2 linked regions of the Stegostoma tigrinum genome follow. The protein of the gene in region 1 purifies or fractionates together with the protein of each later gene. This does not show direct contact. Links are inferred from orthologs where the notes say so. Each region holds a gene or a part of one and is shown on either strand. Other genes may lie near its edges.

Region 1 (8,172 bases):
CAACGTGTTTGAGAAGTGACTAAACTCTTCAAACGTGTCAGGAGATGAGAGAGACAGGACAGTACTGGGTCTCCACTATGGGTGGTGTGTTTGTAATCACACAGTGCCTCTAGGCTATTTTAAATTAATCCAGTGTGTGGCAAGACTTCAGAGAAATAAATTTGGTTATATGCAAGTTGGTTGAACACTAATTAACTCATCTTATTTACACGTTAAAAGGAATGAACACAGGATAGCACACTCAAAGAAATCCCTTAATGCTGCCAAGTTCCCCTCTGCATTTTCTCACTTCTTCTGCTCTAGGGAGGACATCTATAGTTCCCATCACTGAAAGGGAATCCTTTTTTTAACATTCTTTTGTAAAATCTGTCCTCTTCACCAACCTTGCCCCTTTTTTAAATTAAGGAAAGGGAATTCTTGACTTTTATGGTTGTATTAACTGAACACTCTATGAGCTAAAAAGATGAAGGAAAATTTCTGCAGGAATTATATTATATGAACACTTTTCAACACTGGCTTGAAATTTTTTTTATCTGTGGAATTTTTATGAAAAATCCACAAGTACTTTGAGACATTATTGTACATAGTAGTGATTTGTATTTAACTGAACACGACTACAGAAACCTTTCTGTATGGGATAGTGCAGTTTTCGCTATAATAGAAGGCAGCCATTAATCTTGGGTTTGAGAATGGAATTCTGAAACTTCAAATAAAGGTCAAGCTGCCAATCACCAAATGTAACTGTCTTCTTAAAAAAAACTTTGATATTAAATTTATATATTTTTTTCCTCTTAGGGTGTGATGGCTAACAGCAACAGGGGCTTTCCTGTGACTTGAACTGAACTGTTACCTATCACAGGATGAGATGGTCCTTGCTTATGAGATGTATTCTGTTGTAAATTGCAGCTCTGGCATGCATGAGGACCTAGTTCTGTTGACAGTGTGTGTAGGCCCTAGGAACTTCCACTGGAGGAGGTGAGTTCTAGGGCCCTGCAGTGAAGAAGTGGATGATCCAACTGGCATTAGGAGTCACCTGCATGGGCAGACAGGTGGGCAGGCACTAGGAATTAACAGCTATAACATTGTCAGTCAATAGAACCCAGACAAGCTGACCCCAGGAGGGGTAGGCTAGCTCTTGCACCAATCCGTGTTGCTTAAATGGCCGGGGTCTAGGACCATGCTGCACTAAGACAGGGTTGCTAGTCCTACTGAAACCAGGAGGGCAGGTGTACACTAGTACCCATTCACGCTGACAATAGACTGACGAGAACCTTGCAGTGCTGGCCCTGGGAGGTGCAAAGACAGGCAGGCACTAGAACCCAGCTGTACGGCTCTGGCAAGAACTGGCACTACTATGTTTTAGTGCCAGCCCAACTGCTCTCCAGGGGGACAGATACTAGGATCCAGTAGAGCCCACTCGAACTGGCTGGAACAATGAGCACTAGAACCTGGCAGTGCAGACCCCAGCAGGTAGTCAGGAGAATGGGCACTGGGACCCAGCACTTCTCGCTCCAGAAAGCATATGGTAGGAGAGCCCAAGGACCCAAGTGTTGATTTTTGCTTGTACTGGAAGACCGCCATTCACTTGTACCTGACAATGCCAGCTTTGGTAGGTGGATGGTGGGTATTAGGACCCAGTGCTATGGCCTCTGACAGGCATTACGACCCAGCAGAGTCAGATTTGGTAAGAAGGTGGTGGGCACTAGGCCCCAGTGGTGCCAGTTCTGGCAGGCAGTATAACTTGGTGATAATGGGGTGCAGAGCTGGATGAACACAGCAGGCCAAGCAGCTTCAGAGGAGCAGGAAAGCTGTCATTTTGGGTCTCGACCATTCTCCAGAAATGGGGGAGGGGAAGGAGATCCTAAAATAAATAGGGACAGAGGGGGAGGAAGATCAAAGATGGATAGAGAAGATAGGTGGAGAGGAGACAGACAAGTTAAAGGGGCAGGGATGGAGCCAGGAGAGGTGAGTGTAGGCAGGGAGGGGATAGGTCAGTCCAGGGAGGATGGACAGGTCAAGCAGGCGGGATGAGGTTAGTAGGTAGGAGATGGGAGTGGGAGGAGGGGACAGTTGGGAGGAAGAACAGGTTAGGGAGGCGGGGATGAGCTGGGCCGCTTTTGGGATGCGGTAGGGGGAGGGGAGATTTTGAAGCTTATGAAGTCCACCTTGATACCATTGGGTTGCAGTGTTCCCAAGAGGATTATGAGTTGCTGTTCCTGCAACCTTTGGGTGGCATCAATGTGGCACTGCAGGAGGCCCAGGATGGACATTGTCTGAGGAATGGGAGGGGGAGTTGAAATGGTTTGTGACTGGGAGGTGCAGTTGTTTATGGCGAACCAAGCGTAGGTGTTCTGCAAAGTGGTCCCCAAGCCTCCGCTTGGTGTTCCCCGATTATAGAGGAGGCCACAACGATGCAGTATATCACAATGGCAGATGTGCAGGTGAACATCTGCTTGATGTGGAAAGTCTTCTTGGGGCCTTGGATGGGGGTGAGGGGGGAGGTGTAGGGGTAGGTGTAGCTCTTCCTGCGGTTGCAGGGAAAAGTGATGAGTGTGGTGGATGGGAGGGGAGTGTGGAGTGGACAAGGGAGTCACAGAGAGAGTGGTCCCTTCAGAAGGCAGATAAAGCTGGAGAGAGAAAAATGTCTTTGGTGGGGTCAGATTGCAGATTGCAGATGGCAGAAGTGTTGGATGATGATGTGTTGGATCCAGAGGTTGGTGGGGTGGTATGTGAGGATGAGGCAGATTCTGTTTTGGTTGTTATTGCGGGGAGGGGATGTAAGGGATGAGATGCAGGAGATACTGTTGAGGGCGTTCTTGCCCACTGAGGGCAGAGGGAAGTTGCCGTCCTTGAAAAATGAGGACATCTGACATGTACGGGAGTGGAATGCTTCATTGTGGGAGCAGTTGTGATGGAGGTTAAGGAATTGGGAATAGGGGATGGCGTTTTTGCCGGAAGGTGGGTGGGAGGTGGTGTATTCTAGGTAGCTGTGGTGGGCTTGAATGGATATTGGTTTCTAGGTGGTTGCCAGAGATGGAGACAGAGGAGACCAGGAAGGAGAGAGAGGTTTTGGAGATGTTCCAGGTGAACTTAAGGTTGGGGAGGAAGGTTTTGGTGAAGTGGATGAACTGTTTGAGCTCCTCCATAGGAGCACAAGGCAGTGCTGATACAGTCATTGATGTAATGGAGGAAGAGGTGGGATTTAGGGCCAGTGTAGGCATGGAAGAGGGACTGTTCTACGTAACCTACAAAGAGGCAGGTGTAGCTTGAGGCCATGGGGGTATCCATTGCTACCTCCTTTGTTTGTAGGAAGTGGGAGGATTGAAAGAAAAGTTGTTGAGGGTGAGGATCAGTTCCGCTGGGCAGATGAGGGTGTCAGTGGAGGGGGACTGGTCGGGCCTGCAGGACAGGAAGAAGGGGAGGGCCCTCAGACCATTTGCATAAGGAATGCAGGTGTACAGGGACTGGACACCCATACTGAAACAGGTGTTTGGGGACTGGGGAATTGGAAGTTCTGGAGGAGGTGGAGCCCGGGTGGTGTCACGGACGTAGGTAGCGGGTTCCTGAACCAAGGGGTAGAAAATGGAGTTGAGATAGGTGGAGATGAGTTCAGTGGGGCAGGAGCAGGCCGAGATAATGGGTTGACCAGGCTAGTAGGCTTTGTGGATTTTGGAAAGGAGATAGAAGAGAGGGGTGCAGTGTTAGGGAATGATGAGGTTGGATGCTGTGGGTGTAGGTCACCTGAGGTGATGAGGTTGTGGATGGTTTGGGAGATGATGGTTTGGTGGTTGGGGGTGGGGGCATGATCAAGGCGGGGTTAGGAGGAGGTGTCGGAGAGTTGTTGCCTGGCCTCAGTGATGGGGAGGTCAGTGTGCCATACTACAACTGCGCCTCCCTTGTCCGCGCATTTTATGATGAGGTTGGGATTGGAGTGGAGGGCTGCAGTTTCTGTGGGGGAGAGATTGAGGCGATTGATGACTTGGCAGCAGTTGGAGATGAAGAGGTCAAGGGAAGGTAGGAGGCCTTGGGGTGGTGTCCAGGAGGAGAGGGTGTGTTGGAGGTGGGAGAAGGGGTCAGTAGATGGAGGGTTAGGCTCACAGTTAAAGAAGTAAATATGGTGGCAGAGGCTCCCTATCTCCTCCCTGCCTAATTCACCTACATTCATGGCTCTATCCTGGCCTCTTTGACCTGTCTGTCTCCTCTTCCCCCTACCTTCTCCTCTATCTGCCTTCTATCTGCTACCCCATCTCTCCCTATTTATTGCAGAACCCTCTCCCCATCCCCCATTTCTGAAGAAGGGTCAAGGCCTGAAACGTCAGCCTTCCTGCTCCTAAGATGCTGCTTGGCCTGCTGCTTCTATCTAGCTCTGCACCCTGTTATCTCAGACAGTCCAGTATCTGCATTTCCTGCTTTCTCAGACTCAGTGGTATCTGCTCAGGTGCGCACGAGAACCAGTGATGTCAGCTCTGCCAGGCACTAGGACCCACTTGTGCCAGCTGTGGTGTGTGGGCTGGGGTGCACTAGCACCCCCTGGTACCAGCTCTGGTGGGTGGGCAGGCAGGAAAGCATTGGGTACTAGGACCCACTTGTGCCAGTTCTTGTGTGGGCTGGTGGGCACTAGGATCCAGTGGTGTCACCTTGAGCAGGAGGAGGGCATTGGGCCCTAGGACCCAGTGGTGCCAGCTTGGGCAGGAGGAGGGGGTAGGGCACTAGGACCCAGTGGTGCCAGCTTGGGTGGGCAGGAGGCGTGGGTAGGGCACTAGGACCCAGCGGTGCCAGCTCTGACAGGCAGGAGGAGGGGGTAGGGCACTAGGACCCAGCGGTGCCAGCTCCGGCCGGCGGGCGGGCGGTCGGTCCCGGGTTGTCCTGGAGCGTCTCTGAGGAGCCGCCGGATCTGAGTCGCAGGCGCCTGCCGGCTGCAGACAGTGAGTTTTTACAGACCCCCTCGGGCTCGCAGACAGGCACGGAGCAGGGGGATTCGGGGGGCGGTATCTGGTTCGGTGCCGGGTTGGGGACCGAGGCTGCCGGCGTTACCCTCTCAACTTTCCCGTGAGCGGGGCTTCCTCGGGCCGGGCAGCCCAGCCGGCACTCACCGAGAGGCGGGGAAGAGGCAAATCGAGAGGCGGGGCTGCAGGATGTCCCAGGCGGGGCCTAGGAGTAGCCAGGGAGAAATTTAAATCCTGCCTGTGAAACTTTATCAAAGGTAGCAGCAGCTCCCCAGAAACTGTCCCAGTGGGTCTGGAAGAGGATGGTCTCTTCCTTTTAAAAGTTTATCTGGTTTATCAGCAATTAGCTCTGGTTTTGAATTTCCCAGTGGATTTTAGCTGCAAAAATGTTTGTTTTCGCAGTCATCTTGTGGAAAATATTTATAGTTTGAGGCAAAAACCAGGCATCTCACCCACGGGGTAGTTTTACTTTACTTGTCAGTTTCTTTTGAAGTGAGTTGTTGCAAAGAATGTTTTCTGTGCTTTCTTCTGAAGTATTTGCATGGTTAATTGTGAATGTCTGTGCATTTCCACTATTTTGCATCTGTTTTCTTCTCCCCTCTTTTAAGATCTGTTCTCTGAATCTGAAGGTTTTAGGCCCAATATCCCACCCCAGGATTTCAGTGAAATATAGGCTGACACTCCCAGTGCAGTGCTGACGGAGTGTTGCATTGTCACCGATGCCATCGTTCACATCACAATATTAAACCAAGACCCTGTTGGCCCCTTCAGTTAGGTTTTAAACAGTTTCCCTGGTGTCCTAGGATGGTCAGTAACTATTCTTTGATCATCATCAATTAAAAAAATGATCTAGCCACAATAGGAATGCTGTTTGTGGGATCTTGCAATGCACAAATTGGCTGCCACTTTTCCTGCATTTTGCCAGTGACTGCAATGAAAAAATTTTTTCTGGATATCTTGTCCTGCAGATTTCATGCTGGTTACCACTGCTGCCGCACAGCTCCAGGGACCTGGGTTTGGTTCCACCCTCGGGCTGCATTGAGTTTGCACATTCTCCCTGTGTCTGCGTGGATTTCCACCAGGTGCTCTGGTTTCCTCGCACAGTCCAAAGATGTACAGGCTAGGTGGATTGGCCGTGCTAAATTTCCCGTAGTGTTCAGGGATGTGTAGATTAGGTGGTTTATAGGGGGATGGGTCTGGGTGGGATGTTCTGAGGGTCGATATGGACTCGCCGGGCCAAAAGGCCTGTTTCCACACTGTAGGGATTCTATGATCCTATGAAAAGGTGAAACTGTAGTGTCCACCTCAAGTCAACTCGCTTAGCATTGAGACATGTAGTACTCAAAATCAGCTCCACCAGACAGGATCTATTGTTTGTGTACCTGACACCGGACACCTGAAGCAACTGCCCCATTTCAACTCGGTCATGACAGAAAGGCCACAAGAGAAGGCAGTGAATACATTGAGAGATTTCATTGGGAACATACGGAGTCAAAGTCCATGTTTCAGAGGATGCACACAAATCTTGAAACAAGTCATCTATCTGACTGTTCAAACACTATTTACCCCACCTATGCCAGGATCTGCAGATGGCATTTTGAATTTGTCAGAAATCTCTGATCCCATCCAACCAGAATGGACATGTGTCATCCTGAGAAACTGCCCGTGAAGAGATGAATTCTGAAGTAACCTGTGTTTGCTTCCCCTGAAGGTAGTCAGCACTTTACTGTGATCTGGCTCCACCGATGCCAGTCACTGCCTGATGCCTTGTTGAAGTTGTTTTTAATCCATGTTTTGGGCAGTGAGAGTTAGTACGTTACTGGCATCTGGATTGTCACTGTGTTTTCACCTGATGTCAAAGGCACGCTGTCCCAACATGGGCTCACTAGTTAACAAACAAGCAAAAACCTTAGATGGTAATATTCACCAGCCAGTTTATTTACTTGCTGTGTAAAAATTGGATCACACAACCAAAACTTGCAGGTTTCTTCACTGGCTCCTGCTGAAACAGGATGAGTGCGAGTTATCATAGTCGACCTCAACCCCTTGATTGAGGGCTGGGAAGAGTTTGAAGTCTGTCCTGCCTTGTGATGGAAGTAGGTTGGGTGCTCAGTGAGGTCTGGTTTATATTGAGTGCGATGCCTTCTGTGTTCAAAAAGTTGGTCAGGGATCAGTGTTTTGTGCTGGCATGTTGAATGGCCATTCAGTTGAGGCATCAGATGCTATTGGTATTCATGCACTTCTGACTTCCAAAGGTTAGTACCTTTCAGAACGGATCAGGATTGGAAAAATTTCTAAACGCATACTATGAACCTAATTTAGATAAGTAACATCATTGATATCCTTGAGTGATTTCAAGTTTCTGAACTCATTGTCTAGTTGGGATAATTTATTTTAAACTGCAGAACATTGTTGCATTTTCCAACATCATCTGAGTCCCACTGAGTTTAATATTTTGTGATCAGCATAGCATCTCTATGATTCTCTGCTTGTACTACACTGGTGATAGAATTTCTCAGGAGATGAAGTTATGTTTGCATTGTCAGTTAGTAGCAATGACATTTACTGTTGTCATGAGCATCATTGGACATCCTTGTGTAACATGCGTTTGGACGCATACAGAAGCATAATTAGCAGAAAAAAGCTAAACTTGAAGTTGTAAGTATTTTTATATCGGAAGCACTTGTGTTTAAAGATCTTTCCAGTAATTTGGTTAACATTTCTCCTTTCAAATTACTATCTTGTATCTTATGTGATAGAATAATTGTTGCACTTTATTTAAAAAAAAGTTCTGTTACAATACAATATTTTTGATGCATAAAGCTTATTGCATTTATTTTATGTGTTCTATTTTTATGTTCTAAGGTCTGAAATAGGACTATGCTTTTATAAAGGCACACAACTTTTTATTCATTTTGGTTTAATCATAAATATTTATATATACATTATATTTTTTAAGAGTGCACATTTGGAAAAGAACATGCCTACAGACTTTTGCAAAGCTGCATTCTTCGCAGTTTTTTGTCTTTCATATTTCCCTAGTAGTTCAGTATAGCATTTGGTGTGATACTTAGTCATACAGATCACGTGTGATGTGGTAGTACCCTATTTTGTTGTATGGCTGTGTACCAGAATGGTTATTGTGATCTAGACTGACCTTTCAGTGAGGGAATGCTGCATTGTTGCTGGGACTGTCTTTCAGGGCTTTTAAACTGTGGCTCCATCA
Region 2 (8,305 bases), on another chromosome or scaffold:
TCCCCAAGCCTCCGCTTGGTTTCCCCAATGTAGAGGTAGCCACACCGGGTACAATGGATGCAGTATACCACATTGGCAGATGTGCAGGTGAACCTCTGCTTGATATGGAAAAAGTGATCTTGGGGCCTGGGATAGGGGTGAGGGAGGAGGTGTGGGGGTAAGTGTAGCATTTCCTGCGGTTGCAGGGGAAGGTGCCGGGTGTGGTGGAGTTGGAGGGCAGTGTGGAGCGAACAAGGGAGTCACTGAGAGAGTGGTCTATTCCGGAAAGCAGACAAGGGTGGGGATGGAAAAATGTCTTGGGTGGTGGGGTCGGATTGTAGATGGCGGAAGTGTCGGAGTATGATGCATTGTATCCGGAGGTTGGTGGGGTGGTGTGTGAGAATGAGGGGGATCCTCTTAGGGCGGTTGTGGCGGGGGCGGGGTGTGAGGGATGTGTTGCAGGAATTGCGGGAGACGCGGTCAAGGGCGTTCTCGACCACTGTGGGGGGAAAATTGCAGTCCTTGAAGAACTTGGACATCTGGGATGTGCGGGAGTGGAATGCCTCATCGTGGGAGCAGATGCAGCGGAGGCGGAGGAATTGGGAATAGGGGATGGAATTTTTGCAGGAGGGTGGGTGGGAGGAGGTGTATTCTAGGTAGCTGTGGGAGTCGGTGGGCTTGAAATGGACATCAGTTACAAGCTGGTTGCCTGAGATGGAGATTGAGGGGTCCTGGAAGGTGAGGGATTTGTGTATACGGGTTTAAACAGGGGTTTGTCTACCATGCACATGAACTTTTGATTGCTTGAAAATCTAGCCATTTCATTTGTTTAGAAAAGGATTGTACAGAGTCATCTGAAACTGGCACCAAGAATTAGCAGTCATCTCCAACATACCAGAAACATTTCACTGCACTCTCATAACATCAACCTAATCCAGCTGCATCTTGTTCTTTCACTTATTTTCTTTGCTTTTCTGAACTACACAAACTTGAAAATGAGGATGGCTTAAAAAAGATTTTTTTGCAATATATCTACTTGTTTCACACTTACAATAACCATTGACATAAATAGTGAAGGAATGATTTGAGGATTATGATGTTAGTTACCATTTAAAATGCAATTGCACACTTATCTACACTAGGCAGATTAAGTTTAAAAACATTCCATTAAAATACAACCAAAACTTTAATGTGCAAAGGTGAAATAATGCCACACGTTCCTTGTGAGGTAGAAAAAAAGTTGCAGCTTAACTGCAAAATAGTTGCTCAAATAGTTTCCAAAACAGATCAAAATGATTTAAATAGAAAACACCTTTGGGTAATAGTTAGACACATATCACTACAGCCTGGGGGTGGTGAATGCTCAGAGTCATCAGGGAAATATTCATCATGCTCACTGCTGTTGAAGATACAAATGCTACATTCCCCTTTCATCTGTAAAAACTCCACGATAATGCCAAATATTTGAGCATTCCCTCCCCCTACCCCTCCCGCTAATAATAATCAGCTGACTGGCGGAAAATCTGATCAATTATTCAGAGAGAACAACTATGCAGCAAATTCAGATCCCACCAACTCCTGAAAAAGAAGTTGCAAAGTTTGGGACTGGCCACACGTTCAAAGTTTTCCGATTATAGATCTTCCAGCTGTCGTTGGCATATTTTCGGTGCAGTGGCTCAGGGAGAATTTCAAAGTGCTGGGAAGTTTTTTCTAGTCTCAATGACTTGCTCTGTAGGCGAGGAAAAAGTCAGATGCTTGAACGCGACATAGCAAGTGCTAAACCAGCTGCGGCCCTCACCCACTGACCAAAAAAAACCTAAATTAAAAATAAAAATACAGCACATCCTCACCCACGCCTGGTGCATACTGCGCATTGTCGAGTACGGGGGAAGATTGAGTGCACGCCGCCCTCAACACACACTTTAGCCATTCCAGCACTACCAGGTTATAGAGCCACTCCCACCTGTAACTGGGAGGAAGTGGAAGTGTAATCGTGGAATTGCTGGTCGAAATGTATTGTTTCTTCATATCAATATACATTAAAATATGTATTACGAACAAATTCTATATAATTCACGTGAACAAAACAAGTGAACCTAAAACCAACGCCTTCAAATCCGAGAACGGTCAATATGGAGAAGCGGCAATAAAACTTCTCAGTTTCATTTTTCCTACAAGAATTCGGTTTTTGATCTAAAGTCTAATGTCAACAGCGCGACTCCGGGATCACAACAGCAACAACTTTTAGCTGCTACCCATTCACCCTCGCAGTGTTTACACACATTTCCTTATCATCGCTCCCATTCACAATAAGCAGCACTTGCGGATCCCAATCTCCAATGAACGTTATTTTTAAAAAAAAGTTAAAACAGGCGGGAGGGAGAGAGGGCACTCTTCCTCGCAAACGTGCGGCGTTTAATCCTCCAAGAAAGGGGGGGGGGGGGGTAACTGTTAAATACAAGTTGGGGTCGTGAAAGAAAATAGTTGCAAATCAGAAGCAAGAAAAAAAGCCTTCCGACGCCGATACAATGTGGAAAAGAAATACGATTACTCTATGTTCTATGTATTCAGGAAACTCATTGAAGTGTTACAGAGATGGGGTGAGTGGGGAGATAACATTTTGTAAAGGGGTTTATTTAAGTTTGCATACTTATTTCAACGACCTTTCGTGTTTTCAAGGACTGAAGGGAACAGTTTTGCTCCGGTTGCAGTGAGGAGAGTGGGGTTCTTAGAGGGACATACCTGGGCTAAGTCGTCCGTCGCCAGCATCCTCGCCGCTGGACTCTTCATGCCGTCGAACATCGCCTCCTCCGCCTGAAGACCTACCGGTTTGAGTTGGGTGAAGACAGGCTCGTCCGAGCTGCCCCCGCCCAAACTGCCCCTCACTGCACCGCAGGCCATTTGCTCCACACGGTCACAGGGAGTGCGTTTCTGCGTGTGGTGAGTATAAGATCCGCATCCGCCGCAAACACTCTGCCTGCCGCCCGGGATCCCGCAGTTTTCACTCGCACCCACTGACTGCCGACTCTCCAAACATTCCTGCCACTTCCACCCCGGGACACCCGGGCATCCAACCCTCCTCTCCCCCACACCCGCCAAACTCCGGCCACAACCGTGACCGACAGCACAAACCACCAATCAGGATCCAGATCCCCATCCGAGCGATGGGCGCACTCACCAATCAGCCCCCACCAGTGGATGGGGAGGCGGGCTCTCCTGGAAGCATCAGGTTACACGCTCACTCACCAGGTATGTGCTGAGGTAACGTTTACTTAGATGTTTCAAGGCTGCGCTGGTACAGCGGTAATATCCCTCCCTCTAGGCTAGGTGACTCGGGTTTAAGTCCCGCTTGCCCCAGAAACTGTGTTTCCCCCCCCAAAAAAACTACCGCTTTGGTTTCAAACATCCGAACCTGTTATTGGGATTCAGAGCGATTGAAGTAATCCTTCCCAATTTTTAAGTGGAAGTGCACTTTTGGAGTGCCGTCAAAGTTTCTCACTGTTTCGATTAGACTCGTAACCGGATGAAAAAAAAACACAAATCTGCCGTAGGGTTTCCAAGAATGTAGGAACAGATGGACACCACGGAGTTTATGAGTACCATAATTTAAATCTGCTCCGAGTAATTGTAATGAATACATCTTGTACTGAATCAGGCCAACGTTAGTGGTCAGGTGCCACCGCAGTTCAAATGCGTGGGGAGCGGGGGTGGGATGGTGTCGCAGAATTCACTTTAGACGTTCTACTGTGCATGAATAGATGCTGGATTTGCTTTCAAGGGTAGAACAACTTGTGTTGATAAACCACTGGAAGTTTTAATTTTTCTCCAGTGCTCATTGGCCTACATGACCCCCATTCCAACAATGTCTCAATTTTGATGTTTTTCCACATGACTGACACGCCGTTCGTGATCTCATTCCCTCCTTGTGTCTAGAACAATCTCCAGCTCTTCAACTCTGAAAGATCTCTGCTCCCCTCCAACCAACATCTTAGGCACCCCTGATCCCAACTGATTTGCCATTGGCAGTCGTGCCTACGCGCTGATCTCTGCAAATCTTTCCTATTTATCTCTCTTGTTTTCTGTCCTACATTAACTGGTCAAACCTGCCTCTCTGCCGTCATGATATCTCCTTGTATCCCAAATAAAATTATGTTTGCTAGTACTCCTGTGAAATGTGTTGGTCTGTTTCAGGAATTTAAAAGTACTGTAGCAGATATTTTAAGTGATATTTCAGAATTCACACAGTATAGGAAGTCCCCAACTTTTGAACATCAGAATTACAAACTCTCATGCTTACCAATGTGAACCCCAAACAGGACTGTAATTTTAAATATCAGGCTTACAAACATTTCCAGTACTTACAAGTGGCTGCTTTATAGTGCCATGCATTGTGTTCCGATTTGCATACAATCAACTTGCAAGTGGACTCAGGAACAAAACAGATACATTCCAACGATTAAGAATTATTCCAAGGGATGGACCACTTGTGGTATACTAGAAATTGTAAAGATAGTTACAAACTAAGAGAACTGGCATACAAGTATGCAAAGATGGGTTGGAGGTCAGAATTTGGGATGGAACAGAAAGAAAGCAAACAATGTCTACAAAAGTAGTAGCGAAGGAGTGATTACAGTGCAAGCCAGAAATAAAAATCAGACAGAGTTTCTGTAAATACTTACCGATGAAAAAAAAACTGGTGTTGGTCCTACAAACAATGACACAAGGGAATTAATGGAAAATAAACAAATGACAAATGAACAAGTACTTTGCATCAGTCCTTATGATGGAAGTTACAAGTAAAATCGCAGAAGTAGGAATAAATCAGGAAATTGAAAGGAGGAAGAAAATCACATCACCATCAAAGTAGTACTGAGTAAATTGGTGGAACTGTGGTCTGACATGGTCATGAGTACTGCTACACTTCATCCTAGCTTTCAAAAAGAAATAACAAGTGAGATAGTTGATGTAATTGTTTTGATTTTCCAAAGGTCCCTCTAGTTGGTGACACTCTCGTGAGATTGGACGGCAGTGAATTTAAGCCCATTATTCAAAAAGGGACCAAGGTAGAAAGCAAGAAAATACAGGCTCAACATATGTAATGGAAAAGATGTTAAAAGCTATTGTTAAAAAAGTTATCACAGGGAATTTGAAAAGTTCAAGTTTATCACACAATATGGTTCTGGGAATGGAAAATCATGTTTGACCAATGGATTGGACTTCTTTGAAGAGGTAACACATGCTATGGACAAAAAGGAACCAGTGAATGTACTGTACTAGATTTTAGGAAGGGATTTGATAAGGTGCCACATCAAAGGTTATTGCAAAAGACAAAGCTGATGGTTTTGCAGGGAATAAATTAGCTTTAGATGGAAGACTGGCCAGCTGACTTAAAGCGGCCACTCACGATAAATGTTTTTTTTCAAAAAGGAATAGAGGAAAACAGGAATTAGTGTTGTGGCCTGAACATTTTACAATTTATATTAATGAATGAGTTGGAGGGACAGAAGGTACTATTTCCAAATTGGCTGACAGCGTAAAAATAGGTAGAAATGTAAGTTGTGTAGAGGATGCAAGAAAGCTAACAAAAAGATTTATGACTGAGTGAGCAAAGATGTGGCAAATGAAGTACAATGTAATAAAATATGTAATTATCATCTTAAAAAGTATTGACTGGCCGAAAGAATAAAAAGGCTTTCGTTATATAAATAATGGGCAATTTAATAGCTCAGTTTCTTTTACTCAGTCATGAGATATTGTCAACTTTGGCTGAACCAATACTTATTGTCCATACCTAGTTTCCCTTGAGAAGGTGGTGGTCAGCTACCTGTTTGAACCATTACAATCTATTTGGTGGAAGTACATCCACAATGCCATTAGGAAGGCAGTTCTGGGATTTAAGCTTGTCAACACTGAAGAAACAGCGACATATTTTCAAGTCAGAATTATGAATGACTTGGAAGAAAACTTGCAGGTGGTTAGACCTTCAGACATAGGAGCGGAAATTAGGCCATTCAGCCCTCAAGTCTGCTGCACCAAGACTGATAAGTTTCTTAACCTCATTCTCCTGCTTTCTCCCCATAACCTTTGATCCCCTTGATAATCAAGAACCTATCTATCTCAGTCTTAAATATACTCAATGACCTGGCCTTCAGCCTTGTGTGGCAGTGAATTCTATAGATTCATACTCTCTGGCTGAATAAGTTTCTCCTTATCTCCATTCTAAAAGATCTTCGCTATACTCTGAGGCTGTGCGCTCAGGTCCTAGTCTCTCCTACTAATGAAAGCATTTTCCCAATATCCACTCTGTCCAAGCCATTCAGTATCCTGTAAGTTTCTAGATCCCCCCTCATCTTTCTAAACTCAAATGAGTCCCAGAGTTCTGAAACAATCCTCATATGTTAAGCTTTCCATTCTTGGGACCATTCTCATGAATCCCCTCTGAACGCGCTCCATGGCCAGTCCATCCTTCCTGAGATTTGGGGCCCAAAACTGCGCACAATACTCCAAATGTGGCCGAACCACAGCTTGTAACGCCTCAGTAGTATATCCCTGATTTTATATTCAAATCCTCTCAAAATAAATGCCAACATTGCATTTGCCTTCTGACTACTGACTCATCCTGCAAGTTTACCTTGGGAGAATCTTGGACTAACACTCGCAAGTCTCTTTGCACTTCAGACTTCTGAATTTTCTCCCCATTTAAAAAATAGTCCATGCTTTTACTCTTCTTACCAAACTGCATAACCTCAACTTTCCCATGTTGTACTCCATCTGCCACTTCTTCTCCTAACCTGTCCAAATCCATCTGCAGCCTCCCCACCTCCTCAATACTACCTGTCCTTCCACCTATCTTTGTTTCATCTGCAAAATTAGCCGGAATGCCCACAGTTCTTTCATCTACATCATGAATGTATAAAGTGAAATGTTGTGGTCCCAACAATGACCCTTGCAGAACACCACTTGTCACCGGCTGCCATCCTGAGAAAGACCCTTTTATTCCATTACCTTGCTTTCTGCCAGACAGCCAATCTTCTATCCATGCTAGCACCTTGCCTCTAACACCATGGGCCCTTACCTTACTCAGCAGCCTCCTGTGCTGCACCTTGTCAAAGGTCTTCCTGAAGTCAAGGTAAATAACATCCATTAGCTCTCCTTGGTCTACCCTGCTCATTATTTGCTCAAAGAATTCTAACAGATTTGTCAGGCACGACCTCCCCTTAAGTAAACCATGCTGACTTTGCCATACTTCACCACAGACCTTCAAATATTCAGAAATCGCATCCTTTACAATGGACTCCAAAATCTTATCCATGACTGACGTTAGGCTAATTGGCCTGTAATTCTCCATGTTTTGTCTCACACCCTTTTTAAACAGGGATGGCACATAGCAATTTTCCAGTCCTCTGGGACACTTCCTGACTCGAGAGATTCCTGAAAGACCACCACTAACGCTTCCACTGTCTCTTCGGCTATCTCCTTTGGAAATCTGGGGTGTAGTCCATTTGGTCTAGGTGGTTTATCCAGCTTAAGGCCAATCAGTTTTACCAGCACCTTTTCCATGGTGATGTCCACCATACTCAGTTCTGACCCCTGACTCTATTGAATTTTTGGGAGAGTACTCATGTCTTCCACCGTGAAGACTGATTCAAGTAATTATTCAGTTCCTCAGCTATTTCCTTGTTCCCCATTACTATCTCTCCACCATCATTTTCCAGTGGTCTAATGTCCACTTTTGCCTCTCTTTTGCCCTTTATATATCTAAACAAACTCTTACAGTCATCATTTATATTACTCACTAGCTTACCCTCATATTTAATCTTCTCCCTCCTTATTTCTTTCTTTGTTGCCCTCTGTTAGTCTTTGTAAGCTTCCCAGTTCTCTAGTTTCCCACTGCCCTTCACCACATTATATGCTTTCTATTTTGCTTTTATGCTATTCCTGACTACCTTAGTCAGCCATGGTTGCCTCATCTTCCCTCTACCATGCTTCTTTTTCCTAGGGATGATTTTTTGCTGTGTATCCTGAATTACTCCCAGAAACTCCTGCCATTGCTGTTCTACTGTCTTTCCTGCTAGGCTTCTCTTCCAGCCAATTCTGCCTAGGTCCTACCTCATATCTCTGTATTTGCATTTATTCAGCTGTAATACCATTACCTCTGATTCCATCTTCTCCTTCTCATATTGCAGACTAAATTCTATCATTTTATGATCACTGCCTCATAAAGGTTCCTTTACCATAAGCCCCCTTATCAAGTCTGCCTTATTGCACAACATTAAATCCAGTATTGCCTGTTCTCTTGTGGACTCCACCATGAGTTGCTCCAAAA

Evidence for each region.
Region 2: the proteins of raraa (region 1) and klf5a purify together in Homo sapiens (affinity purification with western blotting; 4 studies listed by BioGRID). This does not show direct contact. The link is inferred for Stegostoma tigrinum from reciprocal best matches to the Homo sapiens genes RARA and KLF5.

Annotation. Positions count from the first base shown.
Region 1 is NC_081384.1:11,679,535-11,687,706, reverse strand, and holds the start of raraa (retinoic acid receptor alpha-A), read left to right. Parts: upstream 1-4,817; 5' UTR 4,818-4,925; intron 4,926-8,172. UniProt on the Homo sapiens protein: Receptor for retinoic acid. Retinoic acid receptors bind as heterodimers to their target response elements in response to their ligands, all-trans or 9-cis retinoic acid, and regulate gene expression in various biological processes.
Region 2 is NC_081359.1:25,686,441-25,694,745, reverse strand, and holds the start of klf5a (Krueppel-like factor 5), read right to left. Parts: upstream 3,074-8,305; 5' UTR 2,881-3,073; coding exon 2,722-2,880; intron 1,939-2,721; exon of another isoform or gene 1,854-1,938; coding exon of another isoform or gene 1,830-1,853; intron 1-1,829. UniProt on the Homo sapiens protein: Transcription factor that binds to GC box promoter elements. Activates the transcription of these genes.